3 linked regions of the Tamandua tetradactyla genome follow. The protein of the gene in region 2 interacts with the protein of the main gene of each other region in a pairwise test. Links are inferred from orthologs where the notes say so. Each region holds a gene or a part of one and is shown on either strand. Other genes may lie near its edges.

Region 1 (7,369 bases), on a different chromosome or scaffold from region 2:
GACTATGCACAAACTGCTGATTGCCAGCCCTTGTAGTTGCCCACCTAGTTTCCACCTCCCACACTGCATTTTCAAAGGTTTCAGACCCACACACTCACAATGCACCCAGAATAGCAGGCAAAATGAACATGTGAATTAACATAAACACCTCAATCCGCACTGCTGTTGAAAGACCCTCTCGGCATGAGTTTTTCAGCACTACGTGTTCATAGCTTCCTTTCCCAGCTCACAGCTTCATTACACATGGCTCAGGATAAAACTGCGACCGATTGTCTTGGCAACATATACATTTACTAAAAGAGGAAACAACTCTAAGGTTTACTTTAACTTTTCTATCTGCCAGTTTCCTTGCACTAATTTAGGAAATATTTTTAAAAGCAGTAGCTATTCATAGCCTAGAAATAGTAGCAGTAAAATATTTCATGAGCAAAGACACTCAGGGAAATGTGTTCGAGTTCCTTTTTAATACGAATCAAAGAGTTTGGGTGCCACTAATATTCTCCAATTATCTCCATTAAAATGATTTCTGCTCTAAAAGTTATTCTGTATTTGATCTTCTAGTAATTTACTGAATATTTAGTATATTGAATTACCCACATTGGAATTTGTATATGGCTAAAGAAAATAAAGATTACTCTAAGGAAACCCTAACTATAGATTTGAAAACAAAGAAACATTAATGCTTCAAGGCTATAGTGTGTAAATCAGATAAAAACACAAGTTTAAAATCCAAGAATTTCTGAATCTTTATTATAGGTTAGCAGTAGAAGTATTTGTAGTCTCAATTCAGTTATCTGTTATTTACATTCCACTTCAACATTCCTGTGGTTTTCCTTTTTTTAAATACATTCTGTTGATTAGTGAAAAGCAAAAGAAAGTTTTCAAAGCTGAACCTAAACACCAAAAAATAGATGATATTAGAACAACTGAATACTACAAAAGTATTCACAGCATTTTATTTCCCTGCTTCATTTTGTTGGCTAGGATGTTAGAATGCTTCCTTTAACTGTTATCTCAGGGCTTGCTCACAATTTAGGAAGTCGGCTAGGCAGCATTCCCAGGAAATGCAGAGGACATGACAGGGCCTGCACTCAGTTGGAATAGAAGCATATCTAGATAACTTTTATGGGCACATTGCCAGAAAACTGATACTTCCTCACCCAGTGATTAACAATTGTTACTGCAACGGGATTCCCACTCCAAAGGGCTCTTTTTAATGGTTTATATGTTTATCTTATTTCAAAGAGATCATTCTCCTGAAACTATTGAATTCTGTAGGTATTTGAAAATTTAAAACTTCATTTTGCTTTAGTTTGTTTTTAATTTATGATCTAGAATATGTAATATCTATGTAACTTTTTAAAAGATGGTAAAAAGTTACCAAAAAAGTATAAGTGCTTAAATAATACTAACAGTCGTTGAACATATATTATATACTATACAATGTACTAAGTGATTTTATTCATTAATCATTTATTAATTCATTCATTCAGCAGATATCCATTGTCTACTATGTGTACTATTCTGGGTCCCAGAGGGCAGCAGTGAACAAAACAAAAATCCCTGCTTTCATGGAGCTTTATATTCCAGGAGCAAAACAGTCAACAATTCAATTAGTAAAACATAAAGCAATTGTGATAAGTACTATGGAGAAAAATTAAGCAGAGAAAGGAGATAGTGAGTGACTGTGTGCATGTGAAAGGGTCACACTTAGTTGATGCATTGACATTTAAGCAGAGACCTGAAGGGGTAAGGGAGTCTGAAAGCAGATCTCTGGGAGATGTGTCAAAGATCATTGAACAATTATTTACTGTACACTTATGTGCCACTCGTTGTTTAGTGTTCACAACAGCACTATAGGGTAGACACTTTTATTGCTCCCATTTTACAAATAAGAAAACTTTTACAGCTTAAAAAAATGTAAAGAAACTAGCTTACAGCTCCATTATTTCCAAAAGATAGCTATAATTTGAACCCAGATCCTCCTGGCTTAAAAGCTCTATTTTTAACCATTCTCCTACTGCCAACTCACCTATCTACCTAGTGATAATGTTTCCACATGCTCAGTATCAGTACACACCTCATAGGATAATCCAATACAATATCACACTTAAAAAGAAAAAAATAATTGGGGAGAAAAATATAAATGAAGTCTAACTGATTAAAATAAAGCCCGGTCTGAAAATGTAGAGCTGTGTTCCAGTAGCCATGTTTCTTGAAGATGATTGTATAATGATATAGCTTTCGCAACCTGACTGTGTGATGTGAAAACCTTGTGTCTGATGCTTCTTTTATCTACCTTATGGACAGATGAGTAAAACATATGGATTAAAAATAAATGAATAATAGGGGAACAAATGTCAAAATAAATTTAGTAGATTGCAATACTAGCGATCAATGAATGGGAGGGGTAAGGGGTATGGTATGTATGAATTTTTTTTCAGTTTTATTTTTATTTCTTTTTCTGAATTGATGCAAATGTTTTTAAAAATGATCATGATGATGAATATACAACTGTGTGATAAAAAATAATGTTCATATTGTATGTTGGTTTTATTAATAAAAATAAAAAATAAATGAAATGAAATAAAGCCAGGTAAGAGATCTAGATGGAGACAGAGCTCACAGACAAATGAGAAGTCCCAGCAGACCCTGAAATCACCTTTCAAAGATAAAGAGGCAAGAATAAACGTAAGGAATGCAGAGGAGGACAGGAAACAAGTTTGTTGTTGGAAATCTTTATTAGCACTTTCCCCTTCCCTCTCACCCCTCTCTTCCTAAGCTATATCTCAGCATCAGGGTTGGATGTTTATACCTGGCCAAATAATTGAGCTTTTGAAAAGGTGGCAATTTATCTAAAGATTGGGCTTGCTGGGATGGGAACCATCTTCCAAGACCCACTATCCACATGGCTCCCAGTGAAGCTGTATATTCCACATGGCTAAGGCCATGCTGAGAAAAGGTGACAGAATTGTCACCATTTGGTTGTTCAGGCTTCTAGCCCTTTCCTCCTCACTCTCCGGAAGCTCATGTAAAAACAGAGGCCAGGTACCACCTGCACATTAAGTGTTTGTCTAAGGGTAGAAGGTCTGGGTGGGAAAATGAGGAAGAGGAAAGCTGGGTTCTCCAGCCACTCCAAACTTGAATAAGTGGAGTTTTTCAGCAATTGAGTGATTTTAGGGAAAGTGAACATGCAAAGGATGGTCAATTCTAAGCAATCAAAGGAAGATTGTCCTACTTAGTACTGAGGAAAGATGTTTTTCTTTCTGCCTCTCAAGTCCAAAGAGAAAACTCATGTCGAGTGGCTGAGACTGGTAAACTTTGAGGTCAAGGACCCCTTCTGTTGAGCTTAACTCTGAAGTTCTGAGTCATGCGCTGCGTGTGAAAAATAATTAATAGCATGATAAATATCAGATGTGGAAGATGCAATGAAAATTAGAGGTGCCTTCCATGAGCCCCACCCCTTACAAAAAGCCTGTCATGAACATTGCCTTGATCAACATTAGCAGGGCTATTAAGAAGTATCGCCTAATTAAAAGTCTACTCTTCCGTATTGCCTCTTATTGGAGTTTCTCTGCGTGGGTGTGTTCATAAGAGGAGTGGGTGAGAAAGTGTGTACTGGGTACAATTTGTGTTTCTGCAAGAGAAAACAGAAGCTCTCAATGAAAAGAACATATGTTTCTGGGACTGCAGCTGTGTAAAAAGCACGGCGTCCTTTAAGTTTGTACTAAGAAAAAGAAAAACTTCTGAAAAGTCTTTTATTTCACGCATTTCATCTTCTTGGCAAATTTCCCCTTGTACTGCCCTTTGCACTTGACCAACCAGGTCTTTCTCACCCCCAGGTCCAGAAAACGAAACGTTTCGAACAGTCTGGCAGAGCATGACTAACCAGATAAACCGCTCACTCGGGGATCCCAGAGGCAGCAAACCTCAGTCGAAGAACAGAAGTGACTTTCAGGGCGCACCTGCCCGGAGGCCTCAATCAAACGGAAATCACATCATTTGCAGAGGCTGGGCCAAGGCCGAGTAAATTAATCTGAATGGGGCGCGCCCCTGGCAGGCGGATCCGAGAAGACGCCTAGTGTGTGCTTAGAACCTGGGCAGGCGGCGCCCGGCTCCCCGCCTCCGCGCCTCCGCGCCTCCGCGCCTTTGCGCTGGCGGGCCATCTCGCCAGGTGTCCGCGCGCGCCGCCGACCTCGCTCCTGCTCCCGCTCACGGCCCGAGTGCGCGCATCTGGTCGAAGCTGCACCGTCTCACTCCAGCCTGGGCGCCGGGATCCAGAGGCCGCGCTATCCCCCAGTCCACGCCGCACAGCAGCGCGGGAGGCGGCAACGGGGCGGGACCAGAGGGCGGGACCGGGATCGAGCTGCTCTCGTGGATCCGCCGCGGCTTCGCCCGCAGGTACAACGGCAGGCGAGCGGATCGGTCGCCTCTCCGGCCCCATGGCAGCCCCCGGCTCCCCGGCTGAGTGCGGCTACATCCGGACTGTCTTGGGCCAGCAGATTTTGGGGCAACTGGACAGCTCCAGCCTGGCCCTGCCCTCCGAGGCCAAGCTGAAGCTGGCGGGGAACAGCGGCCTTAGTGGCCAGGCGGTCAAGAGCCTGCGGATCCAGGAGCAGGTGCAGCAGACCCTGGCCCGGAAGGGCCGGAACTCCTTGGGCAACGGTGAGTGCAGCCGGGCCATCCCTCTGCGCGGACCCTGGCCCTCGCCCCTTCCTTCTGTCCCTCCTCACCCTCATCGGCCTGTTGCTTATTGGGGGTGCGGAACCTGGTGGGGGTCCCCACCTGTTGGTCGCGGCTCCTTTGTATGACCCTTGGCGACTCCGGAGTCAGAACAGCGTAGTTGGAGAAAGCACTCTTTTTTTCCCCGTAATCTCTTAGCTTTTTCATGTATGTATCTACACATATTAAATGCACATGTAATGTATCCATTAAAGAATTCAGTCCACTCTCTTCGCCTCTCCCGTGTCCTGCGTTCACTCCCCAATCCCCAGCGGGTACAGGGCGGGGATTTAACCTGAAGGCTTAGGGGGTCTATATAACACTCTGAAAGTCTATACACAATTTTGGTGAGGTCATTTTTCTAGTAGAAAGCGCCCTTAGCTTTTATTGGATTTTTTAAAGAGTTTGTGACCCGTCCCCCGCTCCCCGCCTCCAAAATCCTGAAGAAAAAAAAAAAAAGGCCACGTGAAAGTACATAAGAAGTACTGCTGCTCCTACAACTCAGTTTGATTGTGGTGCGTTGCCCAGGTGCTTGGGGGTTCTCCGCCTAGTGTACGGGGCGAGGGTGAATCTACAAAGGGAACAAATTGGGTAGGAGGCTTTGGCACGGGGAGTGACCACAGCGCCCTGCGGAAGAAAAGGAGGAGGAAGGGGAATTGGGCTGGCCACAGCAGCCTCGTTGCCTCCCTGCGCCTGGCTTGTGAGCACTGCCTCCCCGCCCTCTGCGCACCCTGGGGCTGGGCTGGTCCCTAGGAAAAATTAAACCCGGAGGTGAAAGGGGTTAAAAAAAAATTATTTTAGTGATTGACAAGAGAAGTAGAAGAAGATGACAGGCCATTTGTTTGTGAAGATTAGAGAACATTGTACATCGTTTTCTCCCCTTCCAGAGTAAGGCGGTCAGAGTGATACAGTAACTCTTATCTTAATTGTTTAATATATTTTTATTATGAAAGTACTATAGGCTTATAAAAGAAAATAGAAGAGGAAAGATATTGAACAATTAATTAGATTGGGAAATGAGTGTGTTTCCTGTGATTTTTGTTTCCCTAAGAAGTCATTTGGGCAGTGAAGAACCCAGGACCCATTAGAAGACAGATCACAGGTTTAAAACAGCAGAATCTGGGTGACTGTACTGTTTTCAGTTTATGAAAAGAATCCTGAAGGATCAGGCAGTTAGTATGTAAAAACTTGAGAAATTAAGAAAACGATGTTTAATGTTAATACCTAACATTATTCAGTGCCTGTTTTGTGCCAAGAATTGGGCTATGTGGTTTGCATTCATTTTATTAAAGTTTTCAAAAAAAAAAAACTTGTGGGTATTTGAAATCACCATTTTACAGATGAGGATAGTAAGCACTTACATAACACTTGAATTCCCACAGATAGTAAGTGACAGAGTTCATATTTAAATGCCTGAACCTGAGTTTTTTTTTTAACTATTCATGACTTATGTAGTTAGGTTTTTTATTATTAATATAAAAGTGGGATTTATTAGACCTTAAGTCTCTCTGTGACACCTCTGGTCAGTCCTACCAACCACGCCCTAGTCAGTTTTCTTTTATACCACATTTCCTTTCTGCTGTGCAATTCCAAAGGACCTTACCTGACTCTTTTTTTATTTTTATTTTATCTCAGTGAATATTGTAGCCAAAGATGTAATAGTTAAGGTAAGGTTGAGGGGTAACTCTGCCAAAGTTATTTAATTCTTTACATTTTAGGGCTCTTTAACCCTGAGGAATGACCTTTTAAAATTGGTTTTACCTTTTCCTTAATGGTTTCTTTATTTTTATATATTGATGAATTTTTTATTTTACTAATGAATCAGTCTTCATTGATAACCCTGCATTCCCCTCTTTAACACTCTTCTTTCCCCATCCCACGTACCCTGCCTCTATTTTCCTACATGCCACTTAACACCATCAGTCATATGTGGTCTCTCTAACTTTACTAGGGTTTTATTATAACCTTGAAACAATTATATAAGATAGATATGGGGATCCATTTCACATATGAAGAAACCAAGACACACAGTCATACAATGAACAATTAAAGGTGCTTAGATTTGATCTAGGTATTTCTTTCAACAAACTGGAGCTCAGTCCCAAACCCACGCATAGTCTGTCCTCTTTACAATATAGCACATCAGCCTCTTGGTGAATTCAGCAACTGTCGATTGAGGATATTCATCATATAGGGCACTGTGCAAGCACTGAATTGAACATAGACTGCTGATTTTAAAGCCAGGATTTAAAGTCTGAGGAAGGAAGCCTTCATTTTCAACCCAAATAAATATAACCCACACATAAAGTGGTAAGCGATGAAAAAAGAAGAAATGCTAACGCAGGACGGAGTTTGGGAGTATGAGTTACTTGTAGATGAAGGGAATTTTGGAAAGCTTTGTAGAGGAGATGGTGTTTTAGATCTCAAAAAGTTCAGTAGGTTTGGATCTGGGGAGATGGTTGGAAGAAGAACATTTTAAGAGGGAAACAGCTTGAATATTTCACAGTTCACAGAGTTGGCAGGATAGAACAAATGCTTCTGTCCTAATGCTGAGAGCAACTACTTGAGTGACTCTTTCAAGTAAGGAACAATGTGTTTAAAATATTTTGATTACAGCAGCAGCTCCCCAGCATGCTGAAATATACCT
Region 2 (7,561 bases):
TTCTCCCTTCTCTTATTTTTCTCTTACTCCTTTGTCTTCCATCACTGCTTTGTCCCTGTCTGCTTAAAATTCCTAGGAAAGGTCAGATGAACCAATCAATAGTGTCCTAGGGTGAGGAGAAAAACCCTTGCCTAGCTCACAGTGCTGGCTCAGGTTCGTGGCTAGCCTTGAGTGTGTATCCCACATGGAACAACCACCCAAAAGAAAATCCCATTCAACACCATTTTAATCTTGCAATACCTATGCCAAGTCCTAATTACTTATTGCCCCACTTAACATCCCTGGCTTCTGAGAGAAGAACCAAGAGCAGGAACTAGATATCTGGATCTGTGGGTTCCGGTTTTCTGGCTCTTCCATGTCTCTTCTCTCTTCAGTCTTAGATAAGTGATGCCTATCATGTGCCCCAAGGACTCCCTCCATGATCTAACGGCTACCTATCTCTCCACCTCCTCTCTCCCCAGTCTCCCAACTTTGCTGTATGACAGCCATGCTGCAGGCCTTCAAACATGTTCTTTCTGCCCCAGACATACTTCTCCTGCTTCTGTAGCTAGCTAATTCCTACTCTTCCTCTGGGCCTCAGCTTAGCAATCAGTCCCTCTGGGAGTCTTCCTTGGTCTCTCAAACCTGGTTAGAGCCTCCATATTGGCTCTGAAAGCATCCTGGGCTCCTTGCCACTCCACCATTCCCCCTGCTTTCATCATACTGAAATTATTGTTTACTGTCTGTATTGACAGCTAGAATGTATGCCTAAAGGCAAGTATGTTGGTTTGAAAGGATTATGTACCCCACAAAAGCCATGTTTTAATCCTGATTTATCTTGGGGAGGCAGCTGTTTCTTTTAATCCCTATTCAGCACTGCATGTGATTAGATTATCTCCGCAAAGATGTGACCCACCCAATTGTAGGTGGTAACCTTTGATTAGAAGATTTCCATGGAGGTGTGTCTCCACCCACTGAAGATGAGGTTGCTTACTGGAGCCCTTTAAGATGGAACGATTTTGGAAAAACCTTTAGAGCAACAGACCCATGAGAACCAAGGGAGCCCACGCAGCCAGAGATCTTCAGAGATGAAGAAAGAAAATGCCCCTGGGGAAGCTTCAGGAAACAAGAAGCCTGGAGAGAAAGCTAGCAGAAGTCGCCATGTTCACCATGTGCCTTTCAACTGAGGGAGAAACCCTGAATGTCATCGGCTTTCTTGAACCAAGGTATCTTTCTCTAGATATCTTAATTTGAATATTTGTATAGACTTGCTTTAATTGGGACATTTTCACTGCCTTAGAACTATAAACTTAAAACTTAATAAATTCTCCCTTATAAAAGCTGTTCTGTTTCTGGTATATTGCATACTGGCAGCTTACAAACTAGAACAGCAAGGATCCTCTTTTTTTTTTTTTTTTTTTTTAAATTTACTTCCCTGTCCTTTATCCTTAGTCCACAGCTGGCACTCAATACATATTGGCTATGGGTGGAGTAAAGCAGTGGAATATCCTAGGAAGTTTCCCCAAGTTGCTACCACCTTCAACTACTTTTGCCTCAATTGTAATGAGTTTAGACTAAGATGAACACTTCTACTCATCACCAAAGCTTTCTTGGGGAGAGCACTTGTTTAGAAGAAATATTTGGTTAGCAAATATCTGGTTAAGAGCGTGAACTTTAAGGTCAGATTTCCTGGTTTTGAATCTGTCACTTACTGGCTGTGAAATCTTGGGCAAGTTACTCAACTTCTCTAGGCCTCAGTTTCTTCATGTGCAAAACAAAGGCAATACTGTGGTAACTACCTTAAAGAGTATGAAAATTATAAAAATTACTATACATAAAGAACTTAAGAATTCCTGGCACCAATAAATACTTTTACTATTATTACACCACTAGGGATATAAGGGTGTGGGGTGAGCTCAAGGAATCAAAGTTGATACCCCAATCTTGTTATGTTAGGAAAGAGGTCACTGTGGGCTCTCTATTTTGCTGAACACTAGTATAATGTTTGGGGAAAACTGCTGAAACCAAGCTGATTTACTGTGCAAATTAGGGAGGAGATAACTTTGGCTTCGGCAGAAGAGGGAGGCAGGATTTATTTGTATATGCAACAAATATTTAATGAATTTCCACTATGGGCTAGGCAAGGTTTTTCCTCCTTACTCTGGGGCACCAATGATTGATTCATCTGACCTCTGCTAGGAATTTTAAACAGACGAGGAACAAAGAAAAATAAGATAGCAACAGCCTTAATCCCCAGAAAGCTGACAAAAATCAAGAAAGGCCAGAGGAGTCAGCAATGCTGGGCACTGCGTTTCAGGGGAAGGACAGATCAATATATCTTCACTGGGTATGGCACAGCAGAGGAGGGTTTTGAGATAACAGAAATGCTAATGCAGGATTTCAAAGCATCTACTATGGTATGTGTAATGTAAATCCTCTCCCATCTCCTTTACAAAATCTTCATTAAAGTTTTCATGCTCACAATATATGTATGGGTTATAGCTGCTGGGGGAGGGATACTATAGACAAAAGAGCCCTTCCTTACTCCTACTGTGCTACCAGTAGGGAAACATTACAATGCATGCAATATTTAATGATTATAGATGATACCCATGTACACTGTGTAATACAAGGCTCTTTAAAATGAATGAATTAACAATACCAAAAGTACTCATATTAACTGATGTGAAGAGGAATTATATAGGAAACTTGGAAACTTTTTCCCAAGGGAAAAGGGAGCCATACCTGAAGTTGGGAGCCAGATATGATCACTACCCCAGACTCTCTAGCAAACCGGTGATTTCTCAGCAACTGTAATCTGTCCTTTTATAAATGACTGTCTGTAATTCAGATTTTCTTAAAACATAAATGTTTTAAGATTTAGGTGTGGAGAAGGAAGGGGTCTACTGTGTGCTTTCTGCTCCCATGTTTTTCTGACTTCCAGTTTTCCACTTTTACATCATGTTCCCATCTTTTAAATAACAACAAATGTATATATTAAAAACAAAAAGCAACATCTCATTTCATCATCAGCCTCAGTTATCAAACCAAATAAAACAAAACTATCAATTTTCCTGAATTTCCAGGAGTGAAATAAATAAAGCTCTGCTGGAATTTACCTACACAAATTGAGACTTTGGGGGGGAATAAAGAAATAATCTTTTTTCTTTTCTTAGATTTGTTTACAATATCAACCCTGGGGTTTCTGCATCTTATTATGTGACTACTGATTAAAAAGATATTATGTTGTTTATTAATGTTCTCAAAGCACTATGCCAATTCACATCAACTTGGGTGTATTTTGCCCCTAAAGCTATGAAGTAAATATGGAAGCATTTTGTAGTTAACAAGACTATAAAATATGTTAATTCAAATACTTTGCTTTAAATGGGATTTTTCTTTTTTTTGAACAGGATTTTTCTTTAAATCATTAATGAGAAAATGAAGAAAGCTTGGATAGTCGAGCATGAAATGTAAATGAGAGTAGTTATTTTTTAAAGTATCATCATCTGATATCACAATTTAAATTTGATATTGCACAAAATGATCTTATAATCTGCAGTATCATGAAACTATGCAGCTTATGCCCCAGATTTTTTGGTGGCAGTACTGAAGCCAAGATTTTAAGTAACATTTTCAAATGACTAGATCAGTGAAAAACTTAAGACATTCTGAACTGGGTGAAATAAAAAAAAAGTGCTTGCCTGCTTTTTACCTATGGGGCCATATATATATATAATATATGCATATATATATTAACCACAACTACCTCCTTAAATAATTATATGACTGACCCTGTCACCTAGGCACTGATGGCCCCTTTCTCTTGTTCTCTTTTTTAAACCTAAACAACAACAACAAAAGACCTCAGAGTGTCACTTTTCAGGTATCCTGAGATTTGGATTGGTTTACAGAGATCACTAAATTCAAGGCAAAACTAAACCAGGATTCAAGTTAGTAGAATATCCCGAGACTATATTACTTTAAGATGTCCTAAGAATGTTTTACTTTGGAAGGCATCAACACAGCAATATCCTACCTTCCAGAAATGCATCCCTGTACCAGCAAGACTCTTTTAAGAACTGGGAATTACCCTGGAGCAATCATCACACAGCACCGAGCTCTTGAGAATATTCTGGAAGCATCACACTGTGACCGGTTGCTTCTCTGCAGGGGAGAGAAATGAAATTCAGCAGAAGCAGCAGCTTTTGGGAGGTGATACACGGTTTTCCTGTGAGAATGCTTTTCTACTGGAATGGGTTTACAGAGCACTACATTCCTCTGGAGTTTTAAATCTGTGGACCGTTGAATATGACTCCGCCTTATTTGAAGTTGCAAAATACCTTCTATCTGGGGTGGCGGGAATCAGAACTTTGGAAAATTAAATGTCTGAGACTTCAGACAACCCAGATGGCGTGCATGCAATAGCATTCCATGAAAAACGTATTCAGCCCAACCTTTGCACCTAATTACCCAAGGCGCAGAGATTCAGGGACTCTCCAAATTTTGCATCCCCCCCAAAAGGGAGGGCAATTGCAAGGGTCTTGCTGCAGTTCCCGGGACGTACCACCAGCCGCTTTGTTACAAGTGTATCCAATGTCCCCAGCACCAAGGACTTCTGGGGCGCCGCTCATCCTTGCTCCACTCGCTCTGCAGCTACCGTCTGGGGAGGTTGTACAAGCAGACCCTACCAAGCAGGCCGACAAGATGCTGCGTACCCCGAAGTGCTCCCGATGCCGGAACCATGGCTTCCTGGTGCCGGTCAAGGGCCATGCAGGCAAATGCCGCTGGAAGCAGTGCCTTTGCGAGAAGTGCTATCTGATCACCGAGCGCCAGAAGATAATGGCGGCGCAGAAGGTGCTCAAGAAGGAGACGTCTGAGGAGGAGCAGATAGCCCTGGGCGCGCAGGGGCCGGAGCTTGCCTCCAGGGCCATGGTCGCCGTCCCCGGATCAAGCCTCTGCCCGCTGCCACCGCCCTCCGCTGCGAGAAATGCAGAGCCCGGCCCTCCGGCCGCCCGCTTCCTTGAAAGGCCCCCGCCGGGCCCGAGCCCAGGCCCCAGCGCCTTCCAGCCGGTTCTGGGAGGCCGCGGCCACGTGAGGCCGAATGAAGGAGTCGGGGCGGCGATGCAGGGTTCTGTGGGACCCCAGTTCGAAGCGGAGGCCGCGGGCAGGGGATACCCTGGTCAACTGGAGATGCCAAGGCTGCTGAGGCCCGTTTCCAGCCCACCATTCGCCGATTTCGGTAAGATTCCCAGGCCCCGTGCAGGCATGCCCCACCGCCAGTTCCTTTCCAGGCTGTAGTTTCCCTGCTCCGGGAGCTCCCAGGCCCGCCCGGAACCGCCAATGTAGGCAGTTGGGGGGGGAAAGTGGGGAAAAGAGGTAGCCTTTGCTTTGACAAATCTTTCTCTGAACAGGGCTTGGGTTGGTGCCTTTTTGCAAAAAGAAAAAAAGAGAAAGGAATGAGTGGTCCACAGGACTTTTAACGTTTAGCGACAGTTTTTGCCTTTCCATCTTGCAAGAAAAAAATGGCTACCACGCCAGCTTAGCTGTGACTCCTCGGTGGGGACGTCCTGTGGAGACCAGTCCGACTGCGCTTGCGCACCTCTTCCCGCCTTTTTCTTGGACTGGCTGCTCCTCCCCCAGAGCGTTTCAGCCGGTGGGCAGGCTCAATTCTGGCTGCTCCTGCGCAACCTTTTGTAGTTTGGAGACTCTGCCCTGAAGATCTGTCCTTAGCAGGGCCCTGGTATAACGCACCTGCACCTGCGCACCCCTTGCTGCTCTTTTCTAGGCCTTGCGAGTCCTTCCACCCCGCCTATTACTCTGTGGGTGGACCTGCGCCTGCGCACCCACCCCTCCTACTGGTGGGCTGAGGTTCCTCCCAGAAGACTGCCCGACAAAAAAAAAAAGCATTCTGGCCTGATGCGCCTGCGCACCCATTCCCTCCATTTTCTTGGGCGGGAGTGAGAAAAGGTTTTACCCGCGGCCCCCTACATCCACTGGAGAGGAGCAGTTGGTTTACTGAGAAGTTACTGTCTTTAATTTTTTTGTCCCTCACCCTTGCATAAATTACATTATTACTGATATCTTACAGCATTCAGTATTAAAGTATAATTTCAAGTCACTTATAGATTTGAGGCTTTCAGAACAGGTTCTTTTTTTAAAAATATTTTGATTGATAAACAACATACAAACATAAGCATTCTTAACATACAAACATTCCATACACCTACAGTCAATGGCTCACAATATCATCACATAGTTGTATATTCAACACCATGATCATTTCTTAAAATATTTGCATCACTCTGGAAAAAGAAAGAAAAAACTCATACATACCATACCCCTTACCCCTCCCTCTCGCTGACTGCTAGTATTTCCATCTATTCAATTTATTTTAACATTTGTTCCCCCTATTATTTTTAATCCATTATTTCTTACTCATCTGTCCATACCATAGATACAAGGAGTGTCAGACACAAGATTTTCACAATCACACAGTCACACTGTGAAAGCTATATCATTATACAATCATCTTCAAGAAACATGGCTACTGGAACACAGCTCTATAGTTTCAGGTACTTCCCTCCAGCCTCTTTAATACACCTTGAACCAAAAAGGTGATATCTGCCTAATGCATAAGAATAACCTCCAGGATAACCTCTCGATTCTGATATCTCTCAGCCACTGACACTTTATTTTGTCTCATTTCTCTGTCCCTTTTGGTCGAGAAGGTTTTCTCAATCCCTTGATGCTGAGTCCCAGCTCATTCTTGGATTTCAGAACTGGTTCTTTTTAGTGTGGATATGTTTTCTCGGTATCTTACCTATAGCAACATGGTTGAAAAGCACAGGTCTGAGTCCAGAGGCTGGGGTGGGGGGTGGTTGGAGAGGAAGGCTGCTCAACTTTGAGCAGACTGCTTCTTTCTATGCCATTCTCTCCTCTCTGTATCTCCCTACTGAGACTGGTCTGGATACTCTTTGAAGGCCATTTCTGTCTTCTGGGGCATTCTAGGAAAATCGAGGTTTCCCAAGAAACCAGCTGTCTGATGGGGAAGATAGACCTGAAACAGCAGTTATAGGAGAAGGCTGCCTTCCCAGGGTCACAGTCTCAACAGACACTAATGATGAAGAAAGAAGCAACATTCTCTGCACTCAAGGATCTTGTAGTCCTAGTGGGAGGGACAGCATGTAATCAAAGAATCATGCAAATAAATGCATGAAGCTATAATAACTGATGATTTAACTGAGGTCTGAAGGAAGAATAGGACTTGATGAGCACACAAGGAGGCAAAGTGGAGCTACGGTATAAGGCCTTCCAAGCCCAGGGAACAGCATCTGCAAAGGCCTTGCGATGAATGAGGTTACAGTTTATGATACGGCTGGAGTGGAGGCAGGAACCAGACCCCATGGTGCTGCACAGACTGTGCTAAGAACTTTTTCTAAGAGTGGTTGGACATAGTTGTGGAGTTTTAAGAGGAGCAAGGTTCATAGACGTAATGGATTTGGGAGTTCTTTGCAAATGCATATGAATGTTTATTACACTGCTATCCTTGGTTGGACAGTAATGTGATGCTCTTTTCCCC
Region 3 (7,181 bases), on a different chromosome or scaffold from region 2:
CATTCAAACATCACCTATTGGAGAGACCTTTCTTGACCATCTCTCCCTCATTCTCTATCCCTTTACCTGCTTTATTTTTCTTTTTAGGATTTACTACCACCTAACTAATAAAAGTTGTTGATTTATTTATTATCTATCTCCTCCCATTAGAATATTAGTTCCATGAGAGCAGGGTCTTTGATTCGTTCACTTCCATGTCTCCTAGGTATAAAACCAGAACCTGGCACACAGCAGCTGTTCAATAACATTAGTTGACTGAATAAATGAATAATAATTATCCCTTCACTATTATCAGAATGGTATCAGAAAATCCTAGAAGTGTAGTACTAGGCTTAAACATCATCTTTTCATAAATATTATTTCTTCTTTATTATATCTCAGTTTCAAACTTCTCACCAAAGCTTTCTTGACCATGTCTTTCTCCTGGACCCAGTGGACACCATAAATCCTCTGTACCCTTTGGCTCTAAATTATGCAATATCATGTGATATAGCTATCCTGTGATATCTCTACTCCTGCTCCTCTGGAACATTAAAAAGAAAACCATATATACCATTTTTTTAACGTTCACCCATTTAGTCTCGCAATCTAGACAGAAAACTTGACATATTTTTTGGAAAGTAATTTAGAAATCATTCTGTACAAACACTTTATTTTACAAGGAAAAAAGAAGTCCCCAACAAAGAGATCTTTACAAAACCATGCTAGTTGAAGGTAAGGTGCTACATCAACGATGATTTGAAAATCTGTGTGACACATTGCAATGGGACTGCATATTGAGAATGTGCGAAGTGAAAAATAAAGAACAGCCACAAATACCAGAGAGAAAAAAAGGATCTCTGTGGAATAGTTCTAAGTTGCCCATTTGTGCCCAAAGGACTTAATCCACTCCTTCCCCTGTATACCCCTAAAGGTCCTACAATACTCCATTTCTCAATACTATTGTCCTTAGCCACTTTGAAAGCAGCCGGCCAATAATAAGCTCTGGGAGGAAAGGGGAGGAAGGAGATTCCCCCTATTAACTATGATTGATAGAAACAATAAAAGAATACATACATTCATGAATGGACACATCAAGCAAAACATGCTCACCAGGACCCACATCCAGTGTCCCCCAACTTACCATCCAATGTTAATCCACCTCACCTTAAGTCTCCCCATATTCCTCTCTATTATTTTCCATGGTCCTGAGCTTTTACTTCTCACAATCCCTTTGCCTGACAAAATTCTAATGGGCAACAAAAGCAGGCACACAAAACAAACGAATTCAAAAATAAACACCAAGAGAGTCACTATATCCAAACCAAAAGAAGTAAAAATACTTCTGCAAAGAAGAAGCCTCTGCAAAGAAGACCAAGAAGCATACAGCAACCATGCCAGGCCTAAGTACAGCTCCTTCACCAACACAGGAAGTCAGGCAGAGCCTTGAAAAGCAGGGAGGAAAACACAGGAAGTCTTTTAGCATTGCACAGATTTCCAAGAGTAGTTAAATGAAGAGACACAGGAATAGGAATAAGAATACCAGGGTAAAGTAATATTCTAGCTTTACCATCAGCTAACTGATACCTTTAGGTAAGTTGCTAGTTGTCTCTCTGGACTTACGATTTCCCATCTATAAAATGAGGTGGTCAAAATATTTTGGGACTTGAATCTTCATAAACAATTTTAAAAAGATGAAAACTATTGACGCTCTCCCCCCCAAAAAAGTATACGTACACTATTTTGCAAAGGATTCTTCAATCTATCCAGGGTAAGAACCCCTGGAAAAGATGATGGTTCTGGTTCCTTCTAATCGCTAACATTCTATGATTCTAAGAGAATTAGGCAGTTCTCTAAACAATCGTTGGTACCTGAGCCCCATCATTTCAAAGCAAGTATTTTCTGAATGGAGACCAAATACTAAGACCTACAAAGACACTGACATCGTCACTCCATTTCCCATTTCTAAATCAACTAGCTTATCCTCGAGTCCACAACTCAGAATCCAGCCTTCTAACAGTCCTATAAATTTTCTTTTATATCCTCAGGGTACTAAAGACCTTTCACGTGTCCTGGCTATGTAGGATGCAATTGGCAAAGCACAGCAGAAGCATTTCTTGTGTCTCTCTTCAGGTTCATTAACATGCTCCACGAAGTTAACGAGGCTTAGTATCACAGTGTCCCCACAACACTACCAAACTCCTTGCACTTCACACTCGCTGAGTAACTGATTTAACCCACAATCTAAGCCACATCCCCTTTCGGCTCTCTCTAGGAGTTTTCTCGCCTTTCACTCACCTCCTTCAAAAGCCTCTCCCCAGCCTCATCCCAGTATGTGTCAAGGGCTGCCAAAAACGTACTCCTCCTTTTCGGGAGGTTTTCCACCCCTGCCCCCTCGTCCTCGATTCAGCCCAGCGGCTCTCCTCTAGGCAAAAGACCCAGGCTTTCCGGCTTTCACTCCACCCTAGCAAACTATGAAAAATGGAATCCATCTCAACCATGTTCTGGATTTCCCCAAAAAACCTATTCCCTCGTCAGTCTCCTCGTCCCCTCAGGAATAAGGACTCTCCAGGGCACACCAGGATCCTACTGCACCCTTCGCCTCCAAGCCAGAGCTCGCCCCACCTTCCAAACAGGCCTCGACCGGCCCCCCTCCCACCTCCAGCTCAAGACCCCCGAAAGCCCTCCTCCTCTCCAAGCCCCGGGAGCCTGGAGCCACCCCTCAGGTCCCACTCCGCACACCCACGATAACGGGGTGCCCGTCCCGCGCGGTCACCTGCATCCCGCCGCCGTCGGCAGCCGCCTCCTCTGTGCGCGGCCGCTTGCTCAGGCCAGGCTCGGCTCCGTCTCCTCCCCCTCCGGTCACCGGCAGCTCCAGCTCCGACTCCCGCTTCATCCCCCGGGCAGCGGCACCCGGCCCGAGCTGAGGCGGCTGCTGCGGCTGGGCGCCTTCCGCCATCCGCCCGCGCCCCCCTCGCCTCCGGGAGCCGGGCGACCCGCGACAGGCCACCTCCCCCTGGGCCTCGGCCCCGACTGTCGCGACAGGCGGGCGCGCGCCTGCCCCCGCCCCCCTCGCGTGCGTGCGTGCGTGCGCGCGGGCAGGCCGGCGCCCCTCTGCGGCTCGCGGTCGCGGCTTCCCGCTCGCAGGCTCCGCGGCTCGCTGCCCCGCGCCCTGCTCCGGGCCGCTCGCGGCTCGCCGCGGGCACTCGCTCGCCGCCCACCAACACGCTCGCAACACCGCTCCTGGCCCGCCGCGCCGCCCCGCCTCTCACACTCACGAAGCTTGCCCACCGGCCCGCACCCGCTCACTCACACTCTCCCTCGCACGCCTCGCGGAGGGAGGAAGGGGGCGGTCCGGCTCGCCGAGGCGTGGGGAGGGGTGTTTATTTGGGGGGAGGAGGGGCTCGAGCTGACTGGCCGGGATGCTCCGACCCGCCACTGTGGCAGCTCCGGGAAGGCGGGGAGAGAGAAAGAAGGAGGGAGGGACCTGGATGTAGGACTCCAGCCCGCGCGGGAGGCTATGGCTGGGGCGGCGGCGGCGGCGGCGGCGGCGGCGGCCCAGTCCACGAGGGGGCGGGACCAGTGCTTCTCGGCAATCTCCGTCGCCCTCGCCCCGGCCGCCCGAGGAAAACCGGAAATAGCTCGGGGAAATTCGGGAATCTCCGGTACGGGTGAGGAACGATCTTGGAGGTACAGGGAGGCTGGAGTCGTATCTGCGCGAAGGGGCCAGAGTCTTCCCTTTAGGGGCGGGGCCTCAGCTTAAGGCAGGTGGGGCTTGAGAGACCCGTAGGCCGGCTAGCGCTGCTCTCTAGTAGGACTAGTGCAGAGATTCGTGACCTCAGTTCTCCGGTTTCGCCACACTGGTTCCCTAGGAAAGAAGGGCGTTCTGTGGGAGAAGGCTCTTAGCCTGCTGCCTCTCCCTTAGAAGAATGAGACTCTCCGGTTGGAAGGTCAAGGAATAAGACCATCACTACATGGCTCTCCCCAGTTCTGAGAGCATTTACTCTAATAACAAATTTCATATTCCGGATAATCATAAAAATACCTGTTGTTTCTAAGAGCATAACAGTTTGCACAATGCGTTCATAGACCCGATATAGTGATTACAGGCAGAGTAGTTGTCACGATCACAGTTTCGTTGATGACGCATCTGAAGGTTGGTTAAGTCCTGCAGCTAAAAAGCGGCAGATCCTAAGACACCAGGTCATATTCTTTCGCTATACCTGGCTGCCTGCACTTTATTGCTTATCAACTTTACGCAATTAGAGGTATCTGTACAATAGCATCTCTCTTCTACCAGACTGTAAAGACCAGGACAGCATCTATTTTTCCAGGGTTGCCTATTGTGTCCTCTACTTTACAGGTTTACAATGAACCTAACTTAAACAAGTTATTTCACCTCTTTGGACCCCAGCTGCATGATTTGGCCTTCCTCCCCACCCTCCCCACTCACCCAGCCCCAGGACATTTGTCAATGTCTGGAGACATTTTTGGTTGTTAAATTGGGTGCTGCTGGCATCTAATAGGTAGAAGTCAAGTATGTTGCTTGACATCATCAAGACAGTACCCACAACAAAGGCTTATCCGTCCCAAAATTATCCAGCCAAGGTTGAGAAACTCTGGGTTTCCAGATGGGTCATTTCCAGATGGGTCTATAATTTGGCCTTTGGACTTGGGTTTAAACCTGGCTAATTGTGGAATCGTAGAGGGCTGGTAAAGTTTCCTGTTTTGGAGTCACACCAACCCAGGTTTGAACTGGGCCTTAGGACCCAGTGCCCATGTATTTTTGCAACTAAAAAGTTCTATGTAGGAGGAATTAAGGCCTCCAATGTGGGAGGAAGGAATGGAGGACTTGTCTTGAACCTGTGTTGTCACAGTAAACACATTGTTTTACTAAGGTTGTGTGTTATGGATCGATAACAACAGCCAAGATTTAGTTCTGCTGCTTAAAAACAAGGAAGCCTGGTGAAAATGACTTAACCTCTCAGTTTCATTTGAAAATTAAGATAATGATAGTATCTCCCTCAAAGAATTATTGTGAGGATTAAATGAGATATCACATATTAAGAACTTCAAACAGACGTGATCTATAGTGAACATTCATTAAATATTAACTATTATTATTCCCATTATTATTTTATTCACACTTTAAATGACAGTGAAAAAAATGCCCATTGTGAAAATCAAAGACTATGACCATCACTGTTTTTGTTTTGTTTTAATTATATGAGGGGGCTTGGGTGGGGCCACTAGAGATTGGGGTGGGGTGAACAAAGCTTCCCTTGGTGCAACTACTATGTTGGGCAGTTTATTTTCAATAAACTTTCAAATGCTCGTTTGTAAGATGGCAATTATAATAGTCACATTGTTGTTAAATAAAACAAGTACAAGTCTTAGCACACAGCCTACCATATAATAACTGTTTAATAGGTGGTAATTATTTATCATATTATTTATTTAGTGTTGCTAAGCTTCTGGCCAGGGGGCCAGGGGGTTAGAAATAAAAGCCCAGACATGTCTTTATATGGTCATTTGGGCCATCAAGTTGGAAGTTCAAGTGCCTAAAAATTTGTACTTGAGTTGAATTAGACATCCCCATTCTAAGTCAGGGGTCTTCTGTTGACAGTACCCTAGAGCAGATGGGCCTGATCCCATCCAACTAAGTATTATATCTTTGAAGAAAAATCAGGATGTTTCCTGGTGGTCTGTGAAACAATGATGGATTTTTTTTTTAAACCTAGAGACATCAATGGTTGGTTTTCTGAAAATTTTACTTACTGAACTGGTGCCTTAAGAATTCTTTTTCCCTTTTTCCTTGTTGCCTCAATTTTAAATTGGTTTGTGAAACTTACTGCACAAACACAGGCTTTATAATGATTATATGGATACTTTATTTAAATATGCCTACGGTTAAGCTAAGTAAGATATACATTTTTGGTGGTTCTAAGTGTATTTGTATTCTTAAATTTAAAAAAATTAACAAAAGAAAAACACTTCCAAAAAAAAAGAATTCTTCTCCCCTCCCTACCTTCTTACCAAAATACTGAAATCTAAATGATGCTAAGTCCTTCCTGAGCTGCCCAATAACCCTGCAAGAAATGAGACTTACTATCAGGACTGCCTATGACTCAAATTATTATGTTATTCAAGTAGCTCTCAAATCCCTAAGAAATAGAGCAATGCAGTATAGAAATGTTTGAATGACCAGGCAAAACAAAGGGAAAATGGAGTCTGCCCCATAAACAAACATTAAGAAAATGGAGAATAGAAGCCTACAATAGTGCAAGAGGCCATGTGTGTCCAGAGCAGCACAATGACCAATATCATTTCTTTTATGTAAATCTGAAACTACCTGTTTAAAGACAGGTGCCTATAAAATATTAAAGGGGAAGAGACAAAACATATTTCCTAGAAAGAATTTCTAGCTGCAAAAACGACTACAGTGATAACATTTATTTGAGAAATATGGGCACGTGTCTAGGATATCATGGTACCATAAAATTTATTCACAGTCTAGGGAAGGAAGAGATGAACAAATAAAAAAAAAAAAACAGTTGCAATGCATCATGGTAAGTTGCTTATCCCTCCTAGTGGTCAAGAACACGGACTCTTGTGTCAAATAGACATGGGTTAGATCTGACCTCATATACCTGAGCTCAGACAAAATCCTTAGCCTCTCTGAGGCCCAGCTTCTACATTTGTTTGACAGGCACTGATAGCAGCCAGCCCATTATCTATTCTCTTCTTAATTCCTTATTATTGAAACCCCATTTGTGTTCAGGGCAGGAGTCTGCCAGTTTACGACTATTGAATTCCCAAGCTTCCTATTAGCTAAGTGTGGCCATGTAACACAGCTCTGGCCTTGGAGGTGTAAGTAGAAGTCACTGAAGCTGGTAACTGTTCCTAATTAATAAGAAAGACCATGGGAAGAAAAGGCTCTTTGCTTTTTGCCCTTAATCCTTTGCCTCTTGCCTTTCACCCTTCCTTCTTCCTGGAACACAGACTGGAAAAACAGCAGACATCTTTTCTCCATGAGGTCAAGAGCTCGTACTAAGAATGGTATTGCAGAGCCTTCATAACAGCCTAAGTCTGCCTACGTCTAATTTATTGTTGTATGAGAAAAATAAGTTCCCATTTGATTGAGCCTCTGTAGGTAGTTTTCCACATGCAGCCAAACTCAACTTCTAACTGATAGAATCTGT

Evidence for each region. The genes of interacting proteins can lie anywhere in the genome.
Region 1: the proteins of DMRTB1 (region 2) and PKP2 interact in a two-hybrid assay, tested with the Homo sapiens proteins (2 studies listed by BioGRID). The link is inferred for Tamandua tetradactyla from reciprocal best matches to the Homo sapiens genes DMRTB1 and PKP2.
Region 3: the proteins of DMRTB1 (region 2) and RBFOX2 interact in a two-hybrid assay, tested with the Homo sapiens proteins (3 studies listed by BioGRID). The link is inferred for Tamandua tetradactyla from reciprocal best matches to the Homo sapiens genes DMRTB1 and RBFOX2.

Annotation. Positions count from the first base shown.
Region 1 is NC_135333.1:96,246,264-96,253,632, reverse strand, and holds the start of PKP2 (plakophilin-2), read left to right. Parts: upstream 1-4,353; 5' UTR 4,354-4,442; coding exon 4,443-4,665; intron 4,666-7,369. UniProt on the Homo sapiens protein: A component of desmosome cell-cell junctions which are required for positive regulation of cellular adhesion.
Region 2 is NC_135328.1:168,179,771-168,187,331, reverse strand, and holds the start of DMRTB1 (doublesex- and mab-3-related transcription factor B1), read left to right. Parts: upstream 1-4,545; 5' UTR 4,546-4,575; coding exon 4,576-5,221; intron 5,222-7,561.
Region 3 is NC_135333.1:28,467,132-28,474,312, forward strand, and holds the start of RBFOX2 (RNA binding protein fox-1 homolog 2), read right to left. Parts: upstream 3,017-7,181; 5' UTR 2,939-3,016; coding exon 2,756-2,938; intron 2,656-2,755; exon of another isoform or gene 1-2,655. UniProt on the Homo sapiens protein: RNA-binding protein that regulates alternative splicing events by binding to 5'-UGCAUGU-3' elements. Prevents binding of U2AF2 to the 3'-splice site.